Arabidopsis thaliana: one gene and its partner. The protein of the gene in region 1 purifies or fractionates together with the protein of each later gene. This does not show direct contact. Each region holds a gene or a part of one and is shown on either strand. Other genes may lie near its edges.

The links. Proteins that work in one complex are often made in the same cells at the same time.
Region 2: the proteins of PIPK10 (region 1) and ARF1 purify together in Arabidopsis thaliana (affinity purification with mass spectrometry, with the first as the bait; one study listed by BioGRID). This does not show direct contact.

What each region holds. Positions count from the first base shown.
Region 1 is NC_003075.7:503,579-508,388, forward strand, and holds PIPK10 (phosphatidylinositol phosphate kinase 10), read right to left. Parts: upstream 2,826-4,810; 5' UTR 2,584-2,825; coding exon 2,435-2,583; intron 2,346-2,434; coding exon 2,183-2,345; intron 2,086-2,182; coding exon 1,975-2,085; intron 1,895-1,974; coding exon 1,707-1,894; intron 1,614-1,706; coding exon 1,522-1,613; intron 1,433-1,521; coding exon 1,385-1,432; intron 1,292-1,384; coding exon 1,196-1,291; intron 1,113-1,195; coding exon 1,004-1,112; intron 913-1,003; coding exon 633-912; 3' UTR 557-632; downstream 1-556. Other genes in the region: AT4G01200 (Calcium-dependent lipid-binding (CaLB domain) family protein), read right to left, coding at 3,205-3,957; AT4G01210 (glycosyl transferase family 1 protein), read right to left, coding at 4,160-4,615, 4,716-4,794.
Region 2 is NC_003070.9:8,334,972-8,339,367, reverse strand, and holds ARF1 (ADP-ribosylation factor 1), read right to left. Parts: upstream 2,776-4,396; 5' UTR 2,563-2,775; intron 2,151-2,562; 5' UTR 2,137-2,150; coding exon 1,989-2,136; intron 1,860-1,988; coding exon 1,789-1,859; intron 1,636-1,788; coding exon 1,516-1,635; intron 1,429-1,515; coding exon 1,310-1,428; intron 1,177-1,309; coding exon 1,095-1,176; intron 1,001-1,094; coding exon 995-1,000; 3' UTR 541-994; downstream 1-540. Other genes in the region: CSLA03 (cellulose synthase-like A3), read right to left, coding at 3,138-3,300, 3,386-3,580, 3,667-3,980, 4,065-4,312, 4,396-4,396. UniProt on the Arabidopsis thaliana protein: GTP-binding protein involved in protein trafficking; may modulate vesicle budding and uncoating within the Golgi apparatus.

The DNA of each region.
Region 1 (4,810 bases):
GCCCGTTGTACGAGGAGGAAGAAGAAGCGTCGTGAAAAAGAAGAAAGAAGAAAAGTCAATTGGGCCATAAGATAAGTAAAGCCCAAATAGAAATGGCTTTGTTTTGTTTAGTATAAAAGTTGTTAGGTTAAGGATAATAAGATATTAAATATGTTGTAATGTTGTAACAGAAGAATTATTTAGAGATTAAGGAGAAAAACGTTGAACTGGCTAAACCTAATCTCTAAGAGATCTAAAGAGAGTAACAATGTAGACATACAAGACTAATCTCTGTAAGTGTTCTAAATGCTGCTTTGTGATTAACAAAACAAAGTAAACAGAGATATATATGTTCCAACTGAAAGTTTTAATTAAAGGGTTGACTTGGTTTGATTGGTTTTTTCTTTTGTGTTGAACCAAGAACAATGTTGGGTTTTTTTTATTTTGGGTTTTGTCTTTTTCTGTATTTTATATTTTTGATATATGTGTATTAATAGTTCATGTTTTTCTCTACATTTTGTTGATCGATCAACAATGAAGTCAGAAAAGAGAGGATTTTTTGGACAACAAACACCAACACCAACTTGGGTCGTAAGAAGTGTACCTCTTAACACTCTAATAATTCCACTTGGAAATCAAAAATAACAAACAACTCAATATTTCGAAGAGAGATCATCGTCGTGAGGTAGGAAGATGTTGGAGACAAAGTCTTGGAATCTAGAAGAGTAGATCTTAGGATGGACGGTTGAGATTGAGTTTGAGTTATATTGAATGGATTTGTAACAATGTTCTATGCGTTTCTTCATACCATAGTCTTGAAATGTGTCTACTATCCCTATATACAAAACAACATTGTACCATTCTTCTTCTCCGGTTTCTCTCGTCACTCGCCGTGCCCTCGCTGGAATCTTCATCCCAAAATTGATATTTGAGCTGAAACAAGAAAAGTTAGATATATATATATATTTTTTTTGATGTGAAATTTCTAGCAATGTTGTTATATAGGAGTAGGATAATGCTTTACCTATTGTGAAAGAGGTCACTGAGTGTTGTGGCTAATATATTTGTTTCTGAGCTTGCGCTATTGCTTGTCACTGATTGTATAGTCATTGACATTTCGTTTTCGACTGAATCTGTTAGTAAGACAATAAGTTTATAAAAATTGTAATTTTTGTTAAGTACTATGATTAATTAGATTAAAAAGTTACATTGTTACCTCTATCGGGAGAGCATGAATACATTGCTACAGAAGATCTATCAGGAGAACTAGAAGCCGTCTTCATCGACTTTGTGCTATTGCTTTTGAACGAGCCTGAAAAATTTAATCGGTAGACATTTATGTTGAAGACTTGGTATATAAGAACATAAAACAAAAGAATGAAGAATGTTGGTAAGGATTTTTTACTTGGAGGTGCGAAGCTACCGTAAACCGGGTTCAATCCATCAAGTGAACCTGTTAAGAGTGATTTATTATTATGATCAGAAAAGTTCAAAGTCGATATGCAAATAGTTGCACTCCTAAGAAGAGAGAAGAAACATTACCTTGACATGAGCCTTTAGATTGTAAACCAACCAATAAGCTATAATCCATTATACCTTCTTCTTCCAAAAGCTCGCAATCTAGCTTTGTTTGCCTGTAATGAGATGACCCCTTTTGTGTTTAATAAATTGTTGAGTAACTAGAATCAAGATGGTAGAAAGAAAGAGGGGTGGGGGTGGGATAGTACTTGATGATGCGTTGTCTCGCCAAAGGATCAACGTAGAAACAGAAATCGAAATCGATGTCCTTCAAAACAGTGGTGTTTCTCACTTCAATTTTCTTGTTAGATCGACCTTTCGGAGAACCTTTAAGATCATAGAGCTTGTTCACAAAGATCGTTGAATGTAGCATGTTTGACATCACAGCAAAATATGTCTGTATCCCCAAAAAAGTAACTAATTAGTGGCTGATCAAACTCTAATAATGGAGTGGTATATATATATAATCCTTGTCACCTTAACACCTCCAAGAGGCTTCACAGAATGAGCACCAAAAATCCTTGTGAATAGTGATGATCTGTGATAATTAATATGTCTGTAGTAACGTGGAAGCATCTCTAGTGTCACCTTCACAAGATTGTTTTCAATGAAAGACTCAATATGGAACATATATACACACTTGAAAAAATTAAAAGTAGATTGTGTTAAGATGATTTTGGGGTACCTTAATTTCGGATTTTCGAAGAATCTTGATGAGAAAACGGTTATCATTGGAAATATGAAAGACATTTCCAATTTTCCCAGAAGAAATCTTCTTGAGAGTCTCATCAGTGCAAATGGATAGCAAGTAATCATCATGATCTATACCCTCAAGTTCTTGAATAAGTCTACAAACAACAACAAAAAAAACATTACAAAAACCAATTCTCTTCTTTTTTTTACCTTAAAACATGAAACTATGTTATTACGTACGTACCCGAAACCAACGGGACAGTAATCCTTCCAATCAAACTCAGTGATTGAGCCAGGTGGCAAGTGTTTAATGTGTTTTGTAGAGTATCGAATTCGATTCTCCACCGTGGCTCTCAGCTCCATGGCTGTTATCAATCTCGTAAACTTTGCCATAATTTAAACCCTAAATAGATCATAGCAAAATCATAAATTTATGAACTTAATAAAAAACCTTAAAACTAAAAATTTGATTGCTCTACGTATATGAAGATTTACCTGTTTTCGTACAAGCTGCAATTTCTGATAAAGAGGAAGGCACAAACAGAGAAGATGAAGAAGACAAGAGAGAGTGATTGATTTTTTTATAAAAGATGATGATTTTGTTATTTCTGGTAGGACGTAATTAGTGGTTTTAACTAATCCAGCCGTTAAACTAACAATTATCTCCTCAAAACTTCATAAACGACTTCCCGCGTTTTTTTTTTTTTCACTTTTTACATAATTTTTACTACACTTTTTTTCTGTGATCTACGAATTATTACTATTTCATATCAAAAAGATTTTTTAATTGTTCAAAAACGAAACAACAATTATTGAATATAATGTTTTGAGCAACTAGAACTAAAGAAATTCCAAACTGTTTGTTAACTAACACTCATAACCGCCAAAACTGCCTAAACGACGACGTAAGGGATAAGGAGACCTGAACCGTTGACAGAGATGCACGTGACGAAGATCGATGGTTTAGAAAACCAAAGGAACATCTGAACCGTTGGAAATTCAAGACAACAGATCTCAGCCGTCCGTCATTTTTCTTCTTGGTGGTAACATGCCCGACGATTTCATCAAGAAACAGCACATCAATCCTCCGCCGTCCGATGACGATCGCACGTGATTCTTTCCCGCCAAATTTCGAACAGCGTTCCAGTCTCTGAGAGGAGACGGCATCGGAGAAGACGCCGTCGAGTCAGTACCGTCGTCGGAGAAATTAACCGATCCGCAAACCGAATTCTCTTTCGAACTCTCACCGTCGTCAGCGGAACCGTTCTCCGACGAACTAACCGCAGATCTAGACTTTCTCATTTTCCGACTCCGACGGATCTCTTGAACCGACTTGAAGAAATCAGCTGGAAGTTCAGAAGCATCCATCACCATAGCCGCGATGTTAAGAACGCCGTGAAACTTTCCAGAAGGACGACGGATCTGAAGCGCGACGAGAGATGGAACTTTCACGGCGGCGGTTGGGAGGAAGTTACTCACGAGGAAGCGAACAGTTCCGATCAGATGATCTCGCAAGTAACCAACGGCGTAGATCTCGATTGAAACACCAGAAGTTTCGCTAGATAGAAACTCCGGCGATACCTGGAAAACGAATTTGTCGTTCCAGATCGGATTCTCAGAGCCGATCCGATCAATTCGAGTCCGGAGTTTGCTGGAAGAATCAACCCAGACGGATGCGTAAGTCTGCAATCGCCGGAGCTTTCCCGTCGGTTCTTTAAGTCCTTGCGCAGAGATGAGATTGATCTCAAGAACTTGCGTCTCCTCCATCTTCTCTCTTTCTTTGTTGTTCACAGTGAAGCTCCACCGCCGGAGAATTTAAGCCGTCGGTTAAATCGAAGAGAGGTGAGAAGAGAGAGGGAGAGTGAATGAATGAGACTTGAGACCTTTTATACAGTAATCTTTCCAAAAACAATGAATGAAACAAATTAGTGACCTAACAAAAAAAGAAGCAATTTTAATTTGTTTTCTTTTATGCGTCTACTACATTTAACAAAGTGGAATTTCCGGTAACAGTTTCGTTCTCAGGCGGTGGTTTTACATATTTTCCGATCACTTTCTGACGACCACTTCTACTTCTCATTCTACTCAGCTTATCTCGACTCTTCTTCTTCTTCTCCTCTTTCTCTAAATTCTTCTTTTGCTTCTCTTTCTCTAATGTACCGCGCCACACGATCTCGCCAGTCCATGGCCATAGCCAGTGACCCACACGACGGTCTGAGTCGGCTTCTTCAGCTAGATCTTCGTCCATTGTTTTCAGAGTTGTGTAATCGAACCACTTCACCCACATTTTCCCTCGCCGGTTCTTCTGTTTGTGTTGCTCTTGCATCAAACCAGTCTCAGGATCTATGTAGACAATGCGTCTTGCACTGTGGTAAGCCCATACGTTCACCAGAAGCTCTAGTACCCGCGAATAGCAATGCTTGTCCTGTGAGAAATTGAACACATAAATCCAAACCCAAGTGGACTGATCTGATTTAGATCTAAAAACACATGAACTTTCGCAGATGAAGGAATGAGTTTCTTACTTTGGTTAAACTCAGATAGCAACGGTTTGTTCGATGATGCTCTTCATATATCTGTGCATCTAGTGAATCCACAAACATCCTACAAACAGATGGGA
Region 2 (4,396 bases), on another chromosome or scaffold:
GAGGAAATTTTAGTGACAAATTTCCTAATTCACCAAAATTCACCAAAATCATCTCAAAACTTATTAAAACTCCAATCACTCTAAATTCCTTCTTCAATAAACTCAAATCTTCTGTTTCTGTTTCTGTTTCTTTTATTTTCCTTAATTGCTTATCAAATACTGTATTTAATATCGTCCTTGCAACTATCACTCTAGTCAAAATGATGATTAACGTTCCCTTAATGGCTGGCAGAATAAGAAAGTAAATCAGTGACCTTTAAACACATTAATTTTGAACAGTAATCCGCAAAATAGTTCCAACCGTACAATTGTACTATTCATATATACTCTTAGAATCACAATTTATACATTTCATTAACCTACAATTCTACAAAAATATTATAAAGAAAAACAGATAATTTATGTTATTCCATGGTTGTTAAGATAATTATTAGTTTTAGTGTGCTTATTCTAGACAAATTAAGAACGCAATATTCTGACAAAAATGAATGTGGTGTTCAAAAAGTGCGAGAATTTGGAAATATTAAAGGGATTAGAGGATGCCAGCAAAGAATTTTGAATGTTAACTTTTTTTTCAAACAAGTGGATTTATGATTAAATTGTCTACTCATTCCTCTTCTGCCACACTCTAGCATTTCGCCTACTGGTCATGGCTTTCCTCTACTTGATTCATATGACAAATACTAGCAAAATCATCAAGTTTCGTGTAGCAGGTGCCAACGAAACCGCATTCCAACATATGAATCAAAGTGCACAAGTAAAATGTGACCAAAACCACGAAAGCAGTAGGTGAAATCTTCGATTACAGTTTTACCAAAACTATATAAAAGGTAGTTTTTTTCTAAGTTCTACGTACAATCACAAAATCCATCGACATATCCCAAAAAAAAAAGCAGAACAATAACGAAAACGGAAACCAAAAAAAAAATTCAGATAATGTTTGCCCCTGCATCCAGATTTGCTCAGCAAATCAACTCCACCACGAACTTTCCCTCTACGCCTGCACAACCAGTAACAAGAACACAGAAACAAGAATCACGATTTGCTTCAAAATACTGATCCACAAATCAAAATTGTTGTTTGTGATAATTTACCTTGCCGGCAATGTTGTTGGACAACCAGTCAAGACCTTCGTAAAGCCCCTCGCCTGAAGTGGCACATGTGCTCTGGATGTACCTGGAGAGAGTTCGTAGACATAAAATCAATCAGAGAGGTGATAAATCTTTGGAACTATATCATAAGAAACGTTATGTGCAGGAGAACAAATCAACATGAGGGAAGCAGGGGAGATTATAATGTTTTTATTTACCAGTGACGCTGACGGAGAGAGTGGAGACCAAGCTTATCCGTGATCTCAGCTGCATTCATAGCATTTGGGAGATCCTGCTTGTTAGCAAATACGAGCAGAACAGCATCACGCAGCTCGTCCTGTAAAACCCCGACAAACAGTTTACTGAATCATCTAAACATGAAGAATTCAATACAACAGGCAAAGATATAACACTTGATACAGACCTCATTCAACATTCGGTGCAATTCATCTCTAGCCTCAACAACACGGTCTCTGTCATTGCTGTCCACCACAAAGATAAGACCTTGGGTGTTCTGGAAGTAATGCCTCCACAAGGGACGGATCTGACAACAAGAAGTGGAGGTTTTGCGACATGTGAGTTTGTGTAATTCTATGTTCATCAACAATAATACCAAGACACAGTAGGAAAAAGATCCCCAGGTAGTGATGCAAAAAAAAAAGAATTCTTAATGCTTTAGAGTTGGATAATCTTATACCTTATCCTGACCGCCGACATCCCACACTGTGAAACTGATGTTCTTGTACTCCACAGTCTCCACATTGAACCCTGTCCACAGTTTGTAGTAGTTTAATCATCACGGCAGGTGGAAGACAAAATTTTGTATGAATGGTATGAACAAAGTTGATGGAACTAAGCTTTTGAAACACTGAATTATGAAATGATGTTTAAGCTTACCAATAGTGGGAATGGTGGTTACAATCTCTCCGAGCTTGAGCTTGTACAAAATGGTGGTCTTACCAGCAGCATCAAGACCAACCATCAGAATTCTCATCTCCTTCTTGGCAAAAAGCCTGCTAAAAAGCTTGGCGAATGACAATCCCATCCTGCTTCACTTAACTAACACACAGAAACAGAGTATCAATATCACATAAAGAGAGATCACCAGCGAGAACTCCAAATGTTGACTATAAATCATTAGAATAACGCAGATCGAAACAGATGCAACAACGTTTACAAAACCTCATCGTATAGATCTTGCGGAATTCAGAATCTAATTGAAGCAATTACAACGAGAAAAAGGTGAAATCGAAGATAATGTTCATAGATCCAGACTTGAAACGATGCAGCAGCAGATCGAAATCAGAATTTTCAACCAAAAACATCGAAATCCAAAGCATTACCCAAAGATACAACGGATCATCATAAGAAAAATCCTAAATCGAAGCAAGAATATTCAATTCCCAACCTAAGAACACACTGAAACAATCAAAATTGAGAATGCCTTAGCTCAGATCTAGATCAATAATACCTCTGCGTGAAAGTTTCGGAGCTATCTGAGAGAGAGAGAGAGATCGCGAGAGACGAACAGAATTTGAAAGAGAGAGCTTCAAAACAACGCTAAATGCGCGACGCCGTAATTGCAAAAACGGAAGAAGATCTTTATAGAGGCAAAGGATAAAAACGTCAATTCACATAAATTATCACCGGTAATACCTAGAATACCCCTCGACGAATGTTTTCGTGGAGGGGCCTTGTGCTTACGCGGTTTACATGCGTGATGGGTCATTGGCCGTGGATTGCATCTAACCAATCCAAAACCGCCATGTCATTTTCAACATCTTAAATCATTGACGTTGACTTGTTTTTTTTGTATGTTTCTCTCAATTTTCTTTCTAGAACACAATTGGCAAATACAAATTCATAAAATGTTACGTATGAATATGATCGATAACCAAATTTTAAGATCATAACACCATTTAAAAAATTACATTTTGAGTATGAATATTGGAAGAGTTAACTTGGTTTAAGTAACCAAGATCCAATCTCTAATTTGGTCTAATCAAATAGCAAAAACACATTTGCTCTCAAATACAAAAGTCTAATCTAAACAGTTGGAACAAATGTGCCAATATAACCAACTCCAGCAACAAAAAATGCACAAGACTGTAAAAACAGATAAACATAAAAGTATGATCCTCCATATGCGAAATCGTAACATCCGCAGAAGAATATATATAATCCAACAACGAGTTCTCTCCAGTTGAGTCTGCAAAATGTTAACTAAAATTAGTTACAACATTTCAAAATGCTTAAAAATTGTAATTGTGTGTGTGTTTTTAAGTTAAGAGTACCTTTGTCCAAATCTGGTATAAAGCTTAGTTGTAGCTTTACCTATTAACTTAGACTTGAGAGTGTCACCTAATTTTTCAGTAACAACCCATTCGTTAACCCGTCCTGCCTCTAGTAACCCGATGAATGTCGCTTTTGTGCGATGCATCGACATTACATTCTCGAATAAGATCCAAAAGACAAGAAGATGGAGTGATCTGCAGTAGACAATATATGTCAAACTTTTTATCATACTAGGAAATGAGAAAACAGAGTTTTACTTGAACAGTAGAGATGTTGTTACCGAGGTGTAGCGATTGCGTTAAGGATAGTGATTGTAGTAGGAAAATAAACAGTTGCCCATTTAGGAACTTGGAGCTCAGGGAATAGCACAGTTGTTGGTAATATCAGACAGTAGAAGACAAATGTGAAGATGTGTACTACAATCTTCCTTATGAAGAAGAAATTGTATATGAGATACAATTTCTTCCAGGCCGACACTTTCTTGTTCTGTAAGATTTCCATTGTCATCTTCCTCCATAGATTAGCTGGTCCACAAGACCATCTATGTTGCTGAAACCTGTATGCTTTGAATGTACTTGGCAATTCATTTTTCACCTGAAATGTTAGATTACTTAATAATGTCTTGAATGAAATCTTGTTATGTTTTGCTTGAGTTTAAAAGGGTTATAGTAGTAGTACCTCGACGTCATGGACATAGACAAATTTCCAACCATGAAGACAAGCTCTTACTGCTAAATCCATATCTTCTACGGTTGTTCGATCTTTCCATCCTCCAGCTTCGTTTAAAGCTGCGATTCTCCATACACCCGCGGTTCCATTGAATCCAAAGAAAGCATGTATTGAAGATCCAGATTCTTGCTCAGCCACAAAATGGTAGTTTAGTGACATCTCTTGCATTCTTGTCATTAAGCACTCGTTTGCATTCACTACATGTAACACATTCTCTCCATTAGCCAATTTGACTTAACAAAATAATAACTATTATTTTTCAAAAAAGATATGACTTTACC